2 linked regions of the Rhinolophus ferrumequinum genome follow. The protein of the gene in region 1 interacts with the protein of each later gene in a pairwise test. Links are inferred from orthologs where the notes say so. Each region holds a gene or a part of one and is shown on either strand. Other genes may lie near its edges.

Region 1 (8,020 bases):
AGATAGGGTTTATTTTTGTCCTCTTTTACAGTGAGGACACTGATACTGACAGGTTAAGAAACCTGCTCAAAGTCACGGTGAATAAGTAGCAAAGCCCAGCCTTGAATGTCTGGCCCCAAGGCCTGTGCTCTATCCATGTTATACTGTCAGGGTTTGGAAAAGCGGATGGAAATGGCGTTTAACCTGGAGAAGGGAAGGCTAAGGGGAAACCAAGGGGTCCTGTGGACTTAGACTACTTTGCCACCAGAAGCCCATGAGGGATGCGAGAGTGGGGGTGGGGGGGGATTTCCCCACAGGTGGTGCGCTGACCTCTCAGATCAACACACAGGTCGACATATGAAATATAGTCCTACCAGTCCCGTGCAAACACTCCATGACTTGTTATCTGAGGTGGTGAGATCCCAGAGGGTGGCTAGGGCTGAGGGACACAAATCAGGGCTGCCCTAGAGGGGAGGCGGAGTCAGGCAGTGGTTAACTGCATGAGCGCTGCAGCCAGATAGCTGATCCTGGCTCCATGCTGCAGAAGCTGTGTGACCTTGTGCAAGTTACTTGACTTCTCAGAACTGCAGCTTGCTCTTCCGTAAAGTAGGGACAATATGCCTGTTTCGTAGGGTTGTGCGGATCTAGTGGTACAGGGAAGTGGAGAGGTATGTGAATACTCAACACAGTGCCTGCCAGGTAAGCAGCCCTTGATACGAAGCTGTCCTCCTTACCATAGGAAGTCAGCTTCCTGAGTTCTCAACCCAAATGCTCCACTACCCGCCCCACCCCCACCCTCTTCCCACAAGGGCCTCTTTCCACAAGACGTCATGAACCCAAGTCTAGTCCTTTCTAAGCTTGTCACAGTGTCATCCCTCTGGCTCAAGACTTGCCTCAGGGATGGGGCTCAGCTAGGGACTACCTTTTGTGCAAAGGGCCTAGAGCAGCTATTTCTTTTAACCGGGTACCACTGCCCACTCTGGCTGGGCACAAGCTGGCATTCGGCCAATTCCCAAAGAATGTATGAAATAAGGGAGTGGGGAGGGAGGGCAGGCCCACGGGCTGCATTTCCCCAGCCCCCTCGGGGCCCTGATCTCGGAACAACCCACGAAAGTGCCTGTGAACCCGGGGTCAACAGCTACCCTCCATAGGAAGGCCAGATTTAACAATACGGCACACTTCATTTCAAATTTCAGATAATGCATAATTTGTTAGTATGTCCCAAATATTGCCTGGAATATACGTATGATAAAAAATTATTCATTGCTGATCTGAAATTCAAATTCAACTGGATATCCTATATGTTACCTGGCAACCCTGGTCCCTCAGGGCCTCCTGACACTTACTTGTCTCTGACTAGTAACAGCGGAAGACCTATATAGAGACAGAGGGTCTTTTTTCCCAAATCAAGGGAAGGACCAGAGTTTCATTCTGGGCACCGAAAGCCAGCACAGCTCACACCCATGGTAGTGCTTGGTCTGTCAGGCCAATAAGTTGCTGCAAAAAAGCCCCAAACAGACTTAAGTCCCCCTGATGGACATAAACTATCAAGGCAGAAGTCAGCCCTAACTGGTGACCAGGCAAGGTCTCAGGCTGGCTTTGAAGTCTGACCCTGGTGGGTTCAAATCCTGACTCTGCCACTTAATCCCTGTGGGACTTTGGCAAATTATTTATCTGATCTGAGCCAAGGTTTGCTCATCCGTAAAAGATGACAATATCAGCTTTCCCGGAAGGCTGTTGTGATTAAACAAATAACCTGGCACACCACAGATGCCCCAGGAATGAGAGTTTTCTTCCTTCTCAACTCCTGCAGCTTTGTCCTTCACCTGATTTTCTCTTAGCATTGTTTTAGGCAAATCGCTAGAGAAAAGGCAGTTGGCATTAACCCCACACTGCCTGGAACAGAGTGAGTATGGATGTTTCCCTCATGGCAATTTCTTCCCAGATAAACCTTCAACCCAAGCCCATTCTCTTGCTCCAGACATCTCTCCACGCAGCTGTTGACTAGAAGCTTCAGGGAGGTTGGTCCCAGCGAGCGTGATTACTGGAAGTCTGCCTGTATGAAGTCATAGCACAGAGCAGGTCTCATAACCCAAATATGAATGATGTGCTGTTTTGTAGTCATCTATCTTTTGGGTTCCTTTAGTACCGGACACCATGGCTGCTAAATGCTTTGTCACCAGTGAGTAAAAGGGCATTCCTGGATCCAGTCTCAAAGGAGACTGCACCGAGACCCAAAATGGCAGGTTTGGCGGAAGGTTCACCCCCTCCTGACCAAAGCTAAAAAGGCCACAGCCCCTCTGTCGCAAACCCAGCCAAGAAGCACAGCGGGCTGGGGTGTGGCGGGAGAAAATGAACCTCCGCCAGTGGCATCCTGAGGAGCTCAGGAGAGCCGCTCAGGAAATGAAGACATCCCAGGAAGCCCTGCAGTGTTTTACTAAGTGCACCAAGTTGTGGTTTTCTGGCGTTAAGCAACTTCTACTGGAGTTCGTGTTTCTTGGGAAATAAGGACGCAGGGTTGATACATTTTGTAAACCACCAGTCCGGGCACATCTACTTTTCTTAACCGGATTTAGCAAACAAAGGAGGCTACCTTGAAGTTATGGGAGGCCAGGTGAAAGGTCTAACACCTCTCTCCGTCTCCCTCCTCCGCCCTCCCTCTCTCCCTCTAGGTGGAGGGGAGGTGTCCGCCTCCAAGCCCCACTCCGGGTCTTAGTCCCTCCCCCGCGCCTTCCTCTTTCCCCAGGGGAATTCTGGTGGCGTAGGCCACAGCAATCCTCCAGGGCCGGGTGCTCCCAGTGGCAGGGATCCGACTGCCGGAGGGGGCGGCCCTTTCCCTCGGTTTTCCCTCCTGGCCTTTTCCTGGATCTCTCTCCCGGCCTTGGTTTGTCTGCCCGCCTCCTTCTCACCAGGGGTCTGTATCTTTTCTTTCTCCTTACGCCTTTTCTTTCCCAAACTCCCGGCCTTCTCACCTCCAAAATCCTACTTTAAAAGCGCAAACGGCCCCCACACTCCCGGAGACCCGCCCCGCGCCCGCCCGCCTGCGGCGTGGCCACCCCCGCCCCGCCCGTCGCCACCTTCAGGTTCACGGCTGGCAGCTCCATCCCGACCTAGGCGGAAGGCACCTGTGCGACAGCCGCGGGGTCTTGGAACTCGGGAAGCAAACTTGCCAGCACCAGCCAGCCCTGCTGCCTGGGCTCTAACCCCAGCTCAGCTCCCGGCCACGTGACTCGGGTCACATGACCACTGCCCGTTTGCCAGGGGACGGCGTCGGCCAGCACCCGCTTCCCGCTGGCTCCCAGCTCCGTCCACACGTTGCTCAGGGAGTTCCCGGGGGCGGCTGGAGAACATCAGGACTTTTGCCGCAAAGGGAGCAATATCTTGCCTGGTTAATATCCCAGCAGGTGGACTGACGGGACCACCTGCAGCCAGGAGAACTTGGGGGTATGTCCAGGTGCAAAGTGAGGATGTGGCAACAGCTGCTATCTCATCCTTCAGGAAATCCTCTCTCCTCTCGACCTTCCAGTGTTAGAGACATTGACGGTACCTACCTCAGAGGACCCTTGTGAGGATAAATGAACGAATCCATTTTGTTAAAGAAAAATTTATTCTGACATTTGTTAAAATGGTAGGGAAGACTTCACCCAACACTATTGCAATAGGGATGTTGCAGGAGGGGAGAAAAATCAAGCTTAACTATGAACAGCAAGGACAAGTGGGGTTTTATAGCGAAGCAGCAGAGTGAGGGCTCAGTAGATGGAAAATTACTAAGAGGAGACACTAAAGGCTGGGGGGATTCTTGCTAAACCAACCTAACAAGATTCTTGCTAAAGGCAGGCCAAGGACGTAGACATCAAAAGGTGAGGGAGGGCAGGTGAGGAACTTGATCAGATGTGGAGGGTGTTCAGTTATCCAGGGCAGGGGGATTCTTGCTAAAACTGGGCTATGCAGGCCCAGCAAGAACAGGTTGCACACCGAGGCCAGGCTGAGGCCGAGTTTGAGGAGAAGCCTCATGAGCCTAACTAAAGTTTGGTCAAGGATAGAGTTTTTGTCAAAGGAAAGTGCCTAGAAAAGTGCCTGGCACTTACTCGATGAGCAGTACATAGAAAATATTGTTGTTATCAACACACAAGGGGCCACTTGAATGAACAAACTAAAAGCTGTAGAAAAATCCATCTGGAAGACCAGCAGAAAACCTGTAGGACACACCTGTTTCCAGAAAAAAGCAGACCAGTGAAGAAAGAGTCTGTCAAGACACCTGTTTGCCTCTTAACCAAGAATGGAAGAAATTGAGGAAAGAGAGAGCTGTCTCACCTGCCGTCTCAAAGGCTGTTGACCACCTCCCAACAGGAATGTAAATCCCCACTACCGCCATCCTCCCCTGTACCCCATCCTTCACCCATGACCAGAGAAAACTTTATTTAGAGGGTCCCCTACGGTCTGTCTGACAACTTGTTCGTGTCTCCAGGACAGGAGAGACCATGTGGGAACCTGCGAAACTGCCTGGGTGGGTCCTGAGATCATATCAAGACATATACTCTCTCCAACACAAAGGAAAGACTGCAGGACCTGCAGTACCCACTGACCTAATTTAATGCCCCATTCAGAGACAAAGCCCTCCAGCCCAGGGGTAGAGCAGCATAGCATCTGCCATTGTAACTGAGAGCTGGTGATCTTTAGAGACCAGCCCAATGGGTACAGCTCATTTAGCTTGATTTTTGGGGATTTAAAGCACAGGGGAACTGCGCTAGAACAGAGCAACAGAGTTTGAGTCCTGGCTTTGTCCACTTACTGGTTGAACTTGGGTAAGTCACTTTGCCTCTCGGTGCTTCAGTTTTCTCATCTGTAAAATGAGGATAATAACAGTGGCTTCCTCCAAAGCGTTGTTAGGATTTATTAATACATGAAAAACATTTAGGACAGTGTCTGGCAGACAGTAAGCACTTAGTCAGGATTGGCTGTACTTTTATTAATAATTATTAGTGTATTAGTGTTAATTATTGTTGTCAGTAGAGTACATAGAAAAGAGTAATTCCTCAATAAGTGGTGGGTATTTTTTTAAAAAAGATTTTATTGGGGAAGGGGAACAGGACTTTATTGGGGAACAGCATGGACTTCCAGGTCTTTTTCCAAGTCAAGTTGTTGTCCTTTCAGTCTTAGTTGTGGAGGGCGCAGCTCAGCTCCAGGTCCAGTTGCCGTTGTTAGTTGCAGGGGGCACAGCCCACCATCCCTTGTGGGAGTCGAGGAGTCGAACCGGCAACCTTGTGGTTGAGAGCTGTATTCATCCTGACCAGCTGGGGAAGTGGGGACAGACCCAGTTGGCTGGGGTGGGGAGGGAACACAAGAAAGTAAAACTATTCTTAAAGGAGTCAGAGTTCCTGCCGTGACCCAGTTGTAACTATGGAAGGTCAAATGGACCCCCACAAAGCATATTCCACAAGGCTTTGGGGTCATACTTTTGTAAGTCAAGTTTAAATTTTTCTCTTATAAATTTTATTGGGGAATGTTGGAGAACAGTATGTTTCTTCAGGGCCCATCAGCTCCAAGTCGTTGTTCTTCAGTCTAGTTGTGGAGGGTGCAGCTCAGCTCCAAGTCCAGTCGCCGTTTTCAATCTTTAGTTGCAGGGGGCGCAGCCCACCATCCCATGTGAGGAATTGAACCGGCAACCTTGTTGTTGAGAGCTCGCACTCTAACCAACTGAGCCATCCTGCCGCCCCAAGTTTAAAGTTTTCATGTCCCTGACCAATCCTGTCTGTCTCGGCCAAGTTTTATCTTTGTACCTTCAACAAAGAATCTGACATGCAGAATAGATTCGTTCATTCATTCATTCATTCATTCATTCAGAGAATAGTTATTGAACACCTACTTGGGTAAATATCTAGGAGTGGAATGGCTGGACCATATATGACGGGTGTATATTTGGCTTTTTAAGAAATTGCCAAACTGTTTTCCAAGTTGGTTGTACTGTCCTATTGTAATTTCTTCATAGCACTTACCAATATGTGAAGGTATTGACCTATCAATTTACTTGTTTACTTGTTTATTGTCTGCCCCACCCCCACCTAGACTGCAAATCCTAGGAGGGTCTTGGAACCTCAACACTGGCCTGGGGCATGCTGGGTGCTCAGGGAATGAACCGAGGTACATCCACTGAACAAATTTGTGTGCACCCCTTCCTCCCATCACCTGGAAGACCTGCCACCCAATTCCCTGCTTGTCCTCAGGATGCCACGGATAGTCCAGGCTCTGCTGAGGACGGCACTTGGTAAGTGCCACTGGTTATGGAAATGGCTGATGAAGCAGCCACAGCCATGTCTTTCCTATGATTGCCTGTGTCCTTTAGGTAAAGGTATGTTTTGGATCCCTGTCTTGCCTCCTCCTTGCAGAGTGATCTTGGGCAAGTTATTTAGCCTCAGGGTGATTGTGGGGATCACGTGGGATCATTTACATAGCATCCCTGGCACAGCTCCTGGCACTTTGTAAACATTCAGGAAGCGAATAGCTGCCCTGCTGCTGTGAAAAAACACGCAGCATCTTTCAGCGCCTCTCAGCATCTCCTGGCGCACAATAAATACCAGGATTGAAGCAGCTGGAAAAGGCCCCTTTGATGGAGAGAAGATTCCACCCATCCCCCTTTCCTATGTGCAAAGCCTGGGAGCCAGGCCTTAGCATTTGAGCAACCTCGACCCCCAGCACTGACCTTGACATCTGTGTGACTTTGGGTTAGTCACCACTTAGTCTGTGAAATTTTTTCTGCATATCTAGAAAATGGGGACAGTAATAGTCAACCCCGGGGCTGTGTGAAGCACAAAGGAGGCTTCCCATATGAAAGGCTTTGAAATGGTTTCCAATTGTCCTTTGGTCTTCAGAGTCCTGGACACCCAACAATTCTTAGGTGGCCCGGCCCCTTCCTTTCCCAACTGTGTAAATCAAACTGGAACCGACAGAGAAAAGAACCAAAACACTGTCTGAAAGGCACGTGTGCCTATGAGAATGCAGGGCCGTCCACAAAAGCACATCAGAGAAGGTTCTGGAAGATAGGGTGTGGCCCTTGGTGGCACAGGGAATGTCACTGAGATTTGATCTGGTGTCCTATCCTCCAGCATTTCTGCTCAGCTTGTCACAAACACACCGGCTGTGTTTCTGGCCTAAGTTCTGGCAGGGTTGTGGAAGGCCTGGTGTTTTGTTGGTCGGTGCTGTTCTTTGTATCTGTGGACGGGATCTTCTCCCTCTGATGCCAGCTGCTGGGAGCAGAGACAGCAGAAATGGGCAGAAGTGAAAGAACAGAATAGAACCCTGTGGACTGGAGTCGGGGTGGCTCTCCGGGGCTCCCAGACTTCATCCTCTGTTCTTCAGCACAGGCTCTGGTTGATGCCAAGATTCTGAAGGTATCGAGGCCAGTATGACTTGTTGGTAAAGTCACCGTGCCCATACTATCGTTCAGGGTGGACGGGCTGCTACTGCCCAGTTCCTGGGTTTTCTGGAGGCACCTGGACATCGCTGGGAGGTGTGGGAGCCCCCTTTCTCCAGAGGGGACACCTGTCTTTGTGACTAGCCAAAACAAAGGGGGGGGGCGGTGCTGATTTGGAACTGTTTGTCCCAATGGCATAGAATTCAAACTTACAGCAGCCTCCATCGCTGATTTTTAAAGGCCCAACCAAGCGTCTTGACTCCTTCTCCCTGAGCCATAGACTGCAGCCAGTGATCCCTGATGTTCCTTTTTGTTTTGCCATCTCATCAGGGTCCTATGCAAATTATTGCCCCATCCTGGCAAGCCCTCACCAAACACTTAGTGATCCTCCCCTGTCCCTCCAGAGACCCTTGCACTCAAATCAGGCATCAGAGAACCCATCAGAACACCCTGTGGACCCCTTGGTGAGTGTGGGAAAAGCAGAAAAGGAGACTGCCTGGGCCCTGTTGGATTCTAGGAAACTGCTTGTGTTAGACACCAGCCAGAAAGAGCGGATTTAAGAGGCTGTTGCCCAAGACAGCAGCTCTCTAACTCTGTCCTATGGCATTTTTTCCTTCCCCTTATCCTTCT
Region 2 (8,056 bases), on another chromosome or scaffold:
TGGAAAATGGAATTCAGGCACCAGCAAATAGATGGAGGTGAGAGTGAAGAGAATCTTCACCCTGGCCCTAAAATTACAGAACGTGGAAGTTCAAACCTATGCAGTGCCCAGACTGGCCCTGTGACGCTGCCTTTAATTTACTCAAGTTCTGGTGGACGTGGCCTTAGACCAACCTTAGCTCTGGAGGAAAAACAAGGTTTGTCACCTTTTTGTCTTTAATCTTAAACTTACATATCCCCACCAAAGATGTGTGTTCCATTTTCTAGGAGCAAAGATCTCCACCACGAAGCACCAACTCACCCCAAAGACTTGTACTTAGATGAAATGATATTAGAAATGGCATCGTTCACTGTTTTTTCAACTTCCTGGAACTTCTGCTTGGCCAGTTGCCAAAGCTTGGATTCCTGAAGCTCGGACAACTCGACCTTTAGTTTCCCAAGGGCAGCTGAAAAAACAATTGCTATTTAGCATTAGGCACCACTTATGAAGCAGTTACTATGCGCCAGGTACTAGATAAGACTATTTGCCTATGCTATTTCATTTAATCTTCATAACAACTTGATGAGGTAGGTATTGATATTATCTACATTTTACACATGAGGAAATAAAGAATGAGAAGTTTAAGAAATGTGCCTGAAGTCACACAGCTATGGAACCCCTGTTCCTTCCATGCTGCCTTCATATTGACATATACTCATTATTCATCAACAAAGTAATGAATCAATTGACCAGGAAATTGATAATGATTGTACACCAGATTCTAGTAGTGACTTGAGGAACTATTGCTTTAAATGAGATGTCCACTCTAGTTTGAAAAACTAAGTCAAATGAAATGGGAGAGTAAACTAAAATACAGAAAATCTAGAATCAAGGAAAAAATATGGCTCTAACTCATAAAAGTGGGAGTCCCAGGATAAATGCTTTGCAACAGGCCCAGAGAGCAATAATTCATACAGGAGCGGGAGGACATAGTGTCTTAATGGGAGGTCTCCAGAGAAAAGAGGGAGTAGATAGAATAAATGACATGGCAGATGTAAAATGGTGCATATGAAAAGAGTTAATGATATGTGTGTAAAATAATTCAAGTGAGAAACAATGAGGCAATTACTAACTCGAGGAAAAACAAAAGACCATACAAGAAAAGATACGTAATCATAGTACTGCAACTTGGCTCTGCAATGGACAATATCTACCTAGTCATAACGAAACAAATAGAAAATGCCAATTTAAATAAAACTATGTCTGGTCCTATAACTCACTAGGTGACCGTGACCCAGACACTTCTGTTTCTGAGCTCAGTTTTCTCAGCAGTGAAAATGAGAGAGTGGGTCCCTTCTGTATCTTTGAAGGTTGACTGAGCCCTGACAAGATTTGAAAGACAGTCACTTACAGAAGTTACTATAAAGGATGCTTGTCAATGTGCTGTTAGTATTTCCAGAAAATGAAAAGAAAACAAAGTTATTTTAAGAAATCAGAATAAAAAGGAGATACAATTAAATATAAAAGTAGGTATACAGTTACCTAGTCTAGGTAGAGTTAATTTCCCATTAGTTAAAACAAATCAATAAAAAAAAAATATTAAACAACCGGACAGGATAATATGCTAAGAATATGAACAAAATGTTTGTTAAAATATGTGAAAAGCTAAAAAATATTTTTTAAATGAGTGGATTCTTCCATAGAGAAATGTAAAGTGAAATGAATTACGATCTTTCATCTATGAGACTGGCAAAACCCTTAAAATGTCCATACCAGTGTCAAGGGAGTAGGAAGAAAAGTACTGTCATAGATTGTTGAAGAAAATGATAATTTAAGGGATCCTTTGTCAGCATCTACTATAATTTAAAATGTGCGTGCCTTTCCAACTTTTGAAATCTCACTTTTAGGAATTTATCCTATGCATATATTGGAAAAAGTTTACCATGATATAATATGTAAGAGGATATTTATTTAAACATTGTTTATAGAAAAATAATAAGTAAATCAGCCAGGAACTGAATAACTAACCACCTTTCCCAGGAAATCACCCATACAGGGCAGCCCCTGGTAATGCAGGCATAGTATCTAGAAGGCCGGCTTCTGGGTGACACCTATCATCACCCTTGTTGACTCACCGTCCAGTGTTTTGTCAATGGTCTCAAGTCCTTTATCGAGAGAAGGTCTCACATGGCTCACAATATCATCCAGTTTGTTGCCAAGATCCTCTAGAACAGACCCCGAGGTCCCCGTGAGCAGGCCGCACAAAAGAACAAATTTCCAAAGCTGAAACATCTTGTCCTGACACCTGGACATTCATGGGAGAAACAGGAGTGAAAATTACCCGGAGGGAAAAGGAATCTTCAATGAGCACTTACCACTCTTACACTTAACATTCCTTTAAGACAGATGTCATTGTCTCCTGTTTTACAGATGGGCAGGCCAGGTAAGAAAGCTAGAGAAACTTGCCCAGAGACACACAGCCAGTGAGTGGAGGAGCTGCGATTGGAAAAGTCCCACTTGACTACAAGCCCATGCTCTTTACACAAAGGTCCTTTCCACATGCTGGCTTCTTTGCCTGAAACATCTGTCTTTTTCTTTGCATTTTTTACCTAAATTACTTCTTATTGACTCTCTGGCTTTAGTAAGACATCACACACTCTATGAAGCCCATTCTAGACCCCTCCTCAGAGCTTAGGGTAGGGGGCTCCATCCCACCACTTTTCTGCTTTTGTTCTCGGATCAGAGTCCTGCATACCAATTACCTGATGACCTGTCTACCTTTTCCATTAGGCTGTGAACTCCTTAGAGGAGGAACTATGAGTTATTTCACTGTTGAATCCCCAGCCCCTCGTAAAAAGCCTGCACCTAATACAGTACAACAAATCACTATTTGCTGAATAAAAGTATGAACAAATAAACGAGTACCATATCATGACCCTGCATTGCCCATTAGTTTGACACTTCTCTGAATATAATCTGTATCTATCTCTTAATTTTCTATATTCAAAATATTAGCAATCCAAGCAGCCCTATCCCTCTGCCTCTTGCCCTCAAAGCCTTCAGAAGACCACGTTGTAAGGTACCATCAGGGGGAAGCCCATCACTCACAGGTTTGGAGGAGGATGCTCACGAACACTTGTTCTTCTGCACGGTCTCCTGGGATTCTTCTAGGTGGTGGTGGCCCTTATATTGGTGGCTACAGGATGGGAGATTGCCCATGGAAGCAAGCCCTGGTTCTGGGGCCATCCAAGGAGAGGCCAAAGAAAATAACCCCTGTTCAGGGTGAGCAGAGAGACTTCCATCCAAAGGTCACCTAGGATGCTTGAATTGAATGGATGGATATGGGGAGGACTTTCTGCCAAGACTAAGACCGGATTCTCATGGAGCCTCCATCTGCCAAATTGGTGGCCATTGCGGGTGAGGGTTGGGGTGAAGACTAAGAGTGGACAAATTAGAGAATTGTTAGTGAGAACCTATTGTGATCATCCATCTTAATTCTATCACCATTTGGAAACTGAGGCTCAGAGAGGGGAAGCAACCAGCTTGAGGTCACCCAGCAAGACATGGACAGAGATCGGACCAGAACTGTGACCCACAGAGAGTCACGGTCAGCAAGCAGAAAGGTCATTCTGCCCCATCCTTCTCGGTGTCTGTGTGCTTTCTATAGCATCTCTCACAGTGGAGCCAGCCTCAATTTGAATGTTTGCAATGATGGGGAGCTCACTACTCCTTAAGCCTGCCTATTCCATCGAGTTGGTAGAGTTCCTCCTGAGAGTGAACAAAATCTGCCTCCACTTTACCTCCATATGTGGGCAGCAATGAGGCCCAGAAAGGTTAAGCACCCTGCCTGAGGCTGCACAGCCAGTGTCAGGAGACACACACCACAGCCTTATCCCTGGTGTCCGTCTGCACACTTGCCCTATCCACTCTGCTCAACACAGCAGCTAGAGGTGTGTCATTCAGCTTAAACCCGAAGTCCTACCATGCCCTGTAGGAGCCTGTATCATCTGCTCACTGCCTCTCCAAACTCATCTCCAACTTCTTCCTCCGGGCCCCTACCTGTCTTTCTTCTATTCCAGAAGATTCTGACCTCTTTCCTGCTTTGGGCCTTTGCATAAGCCGTTCTCTCTGCCCAGGACTTTCCTCCCCAACTGTCCCTAACTCTTGTTGTCACCTCTTCAGAACCTCCCTGACTGCTGACCTGAGGTGGCCCCTCCCTGTTATCCCTGATTTCAGCTCCTCGATGGCTTCTTTCATAGCAAGTCAACACAATTTGATTTTTTTAAAACTTTTTAAAAATTGATTTTAAGTGTGTTTTTCCAGGACCCATGAGCTCCAAGTCAAGTAGTTGTTTCAATCTAGTTGTGGAGGGCGCAGCTCACAGTGGCCCATTGGGGATCGAAACGGCAACATTTTTGTTAAGAGCACTGCACTCTAACCAACTGAGCTAACCAGTCACCCCCACAATTTGATTTTTTAAAAACTTGTTCTCCGCCCTCAGCAAATTGTTACCACTCTGTGCTCTGAGGCTTTCCTCATATGTAGGCTTCAAAGACTCTGATCTGTCTCTAGAATGTTCCAAACCTCTCTCTAAGGCATCCTATAAAACCAGTCACTACTTGGGAAGGTGGTGAGGTCCCCATCACCAGATATGCTCAGAAATTGAAATAGATAACTGCTAAGCTCCTGTGGGACTTGACGTGACTATGAGCTATGATTCTAAATTGTCTTGGTCTATTGTTCAAAGACCACTGTGGCACATTTTTATGATTCTTCTTCTCAGGTTTTCTTTCTACCTGAGTCCAGATGGATATCTTTCCCTTAGGCTTCCTATATCTTTCCTTTTCTCACCCTCCCAACCTCCCAAGACCCCAATTTCGACATGCTGTGGCCCCCTGGAGCCCCAGAGTGCTGGGTGCTGTCTCTCAGCACGGACCACGCCCCGAACAAAGCCAGCATCTCCCACTGGCACTGGCTGCCTGCCTCACACAGCCAAGCTTGAGGTAACACTAATTAGAAGTTCTCATTACCTGGCCATGGGTCTGGGAAAGAGGAACCTATCCTCTCACACGCAGCTCAAAAGTCCTGCTATCTAAGTCGCCATTCTCAGTGTCACCCACCTCTCTGCAGCTTCACTGTCCCCAGCTCACATGAAGACAGGACTTTTCCACACCCTCAGGGGCCCCCGTCTGCTAAAGCATTTGGGTGACCCCCAAGTCTGGTCTACACTAGGCAAAGCTCCCAAAGTGGGGAGAAACCTTGCCCCCTTCTTCCTGAGGTCCTCTGGATCCCACTCCTCATAGTGTGTGTGGAATTCTTGAACAAGCACATACATACTGACACATATGTATATGTGCATGTCCACACACATGTGTGCCCATGCATGCAGGTGACCAAGGCAGTAAAGCTAGACTCATAGACAACATCTCCCTGCCAACAACGAGGAGAACTTTTTACAGAATCATGGAGACACGTTACCACTGTTCTGAATGGAAGGGCTCCCTACCCACAAAGGCGGATTTGGGGCTTCCCAGATTGCCTGGGTCTGTTTTTCCCCTTAAATACTTTAGATACAATTATCTGGCAAAGCCCATTGGAGAATGAAGCAAATACTAAAGAAATGAGAAAATATATCATTCAAGTGCCTGGATATAGCTTTGCCCAAAGTCATGTAACCCCAGACTTTTCACTTCTAATACATTTCTCCCTCCCTCTTTTTTCATTGTTGCTTAAGCCCCTGTGGATTGGATTCCTGTCACCGAAACCCACAGCAGTCCTGACGCACCCATTTGTAGACTCACATCAGTCACCTCCCTTCTGACGGCTGCTCGAAGTTCGTACACGACACTGGAAACATCGCAGACACCAAAGCCAGAGGAGAGCTTAGAGTTTATTAATTTAACCTCCTTGCTGGGAGGTTTGGGGAACCTATAGCTCAGAGAAGGAGAAAGGCTCATCTAAGGCCACACAGTGACCTTCAACCCCTCTTGTTTTTCTCTTTTATTGCATAACTTTTAGTTTTGTTGGAATTTTCTACCCTGGACTTAAAAAAAAAAAAAAAAGATTGAACAGAATTACCTAGGAAACTTGTTTAAAATACAGATGCTTGCACTCCAACCCTAAATAATTTGGGTCAGAGGCTCTGGGAGCCCAAAAGTGGCCTGTGTCCCCTGGGGGTTGCCCCCTGGGGGTTGTTGACCAGAAATGGGAATGACTGGACTAGATGACTCAAAGGTGCCTTCTGCCCAGAGTTCTATGAGCTGTGACCCCCATCCCAACATCTGGAGCCCCAGCTCAGCCTAGACATGATCCTCATAACCCTGCAGCCCATGTGCACAGCACTTTACAGTGTAGCCTGACTGACCCATAAGAGCACACTATTAATAATAACAACTGCCATTTATTTGGTACCTGCTGTGTACCAGGTGTTTTTCCTACTTCACCTGGTTTCATCCCCTCATAACCTTGCAGGGGATGTTACTGTCCCTGTATTTTGGATGAGGAGCTTGAGGCTCAGAAGGGAAGGACAACTTGCTCAAGGTCATGCAGAAAGGAAAGAGCAGAGCTGGGAAGGAAAAAAATAAAAATCTTCAGCCTGGCAGATTGAGAACTGCTATTCCAGCTCATGGCCTTCTGGGGGCAGCAGCGAGTCACATTCTTCTGCCCCCAGTGCCCGGAACCCAGAAGGTGCCTGGTAGGGCCTGGTGCTTTAGGTACTTTCGCCATCAGTCTTCACGACAGACAACCTGTGAGGAGGTTTTGAGCCCCATTTTCCACTTGAGGAAACTGAGATTCAGAAAGGAGAGGTGGTTTGCCCAGGCCTCACAAGGACAGAAACTGGACATTTGATTCCATGGCCCTTCCCCCCATGTCACACTGAGGCCAGCTGGCAAGACAGGAAAGTCCTTGGGCTTCAATATCCTGTTTATCTCCCGGCCTCTGCTGTTTGAGTTGGTTGTAACGCCTGGTGCATTGGGCCCAAGTCAACCTGAAACAGGCCACAGGAAACTCAGGTAGGTGCCCACTTGGCATTCAGGCACACTGGCAGAGAGCTCAGGAACATCCTGTGCCTGTCTCCTCTGCTCACCCACCTGAGACTCAGCAAGGACCAGGTGGGCCTGTCCTTCATACAAACGTGGGCAGGGCAAAGGGTGTGGTAGGACTGGTGGCTCGGGAACTAGCTTTCCTCACACTGACCATGTTTCCACTATTAGAGCACAGAGCAGGAAGAAGGCAAAAGCGTGGCTCCCCAAGTCAGGGCTAGGACCTGGAGAACCCAGTTCAGTAGTCTTACTTGGTGGTATTGGACCAGTCATCAAGACTCTTCCCTGGCTACATGGCACCCAGTTCCACAGTGTCTGAGGCCCTTCTTCCTCCAGGTGTCAGGCGCAGAGCTGAGGGCTATGCTGAAATCTTGTGAAGAGAGTTTTTCCCACCCCAGGAACACAGCCCAGGGGCTGAGTGTTATGTGGTGATTTTAGACCTGGTGTTGGCCCCAGGCCTCAGTTGCCCCATCTGTAAAATGGAGTCAACACCCCTGTGCCTGGATTCCAGTGGCAAAATGGAAACCAAAAGGGTGCCCAAAGGGATCTGAGGGGGGTGGTCAGAGCCTGGCTCTCGGGTTGGGTTCGAATCCTTCGTTCTCGCTGTTGTTGGCTGTATGACTGGATGAGGGGTGTCATCTCGCTGAACCTCAGGTTCCTTATCTGTGAAATGGGAAGAGCAACAGGACTTACTTCCCAGGAGTGTTGTGAAGATGAGGTGTGATAATGCTTGTGGAAAGGCTAGCACGTGGTAAGCCCTCAATACACGTTAACAACAATGATGATCTTATAATTATTGTTGGTTTCTGGTCACTTCACTTCTCTCCACCACAATTTTCCCATCTATATGTCAAAATTAAATGAGACAGGCATCCAATATGATTAGTGTTCAGTTAACAGGAACTACACTTCTCATTTTTGTGTGAAATGAGGACCTGATGAGCTAAAATGGGTCAGGCCTCCGGGATACCAGTGTCCACCAATTTTGACTCTATTAGCTGCTGGTGTATGTGTGACCTTTAGTAGGCACATTT

What was found.
Region 2: the proteins of AGTRAP (region 1) and BPIFA2 interact in binary tests that used the Homo sapiens proteins (3 or more experiments, as listed by UniProt). The two-hybrid records come from large-scale screens. The link is inferred for Rhinolophus ferrumequinum from reciprocal best matches to the Homo sapiens genes AGTRAP and BPIFA2.

The regions. Positions count from the first base shown.
Region 1 is NC_046292.1:7,934,391-7,942,410, reverse strand, and holds the start of AGTRAP (type-1 angiotensin II receptor-associated protein), read right to left. Parts: upstream 3,213-8,020; 5' UTR 3,084-3,212; coding exon 3,057-3,083; intron 1-3,056. UniProt on the Homo sapiens protein: Appears to be a negative regulator of type-1 angiotensin II receptor-mediated signaling by regulating receptor internalization as well as mechanism of receptor desensitization such as phosphorylation.
Region 2 is NC_046306.1:21,718,371-21,726,426, forward strand, and holds the start of BPIFA2 (BPI fold-containing family A member 2), read right to left. Parts: upstream 3,211-8,056; 5' UTR 3,088-3,210; intron 2,285-3,087; 5' UTR 2,272-2,284; coding exon 2,115-2,271; intron 446-2,114; coding exon 301-445; intron 1-300. UniProt on the Homo sapiens protein: Has strong antibacterial activity against P.aeruginosa.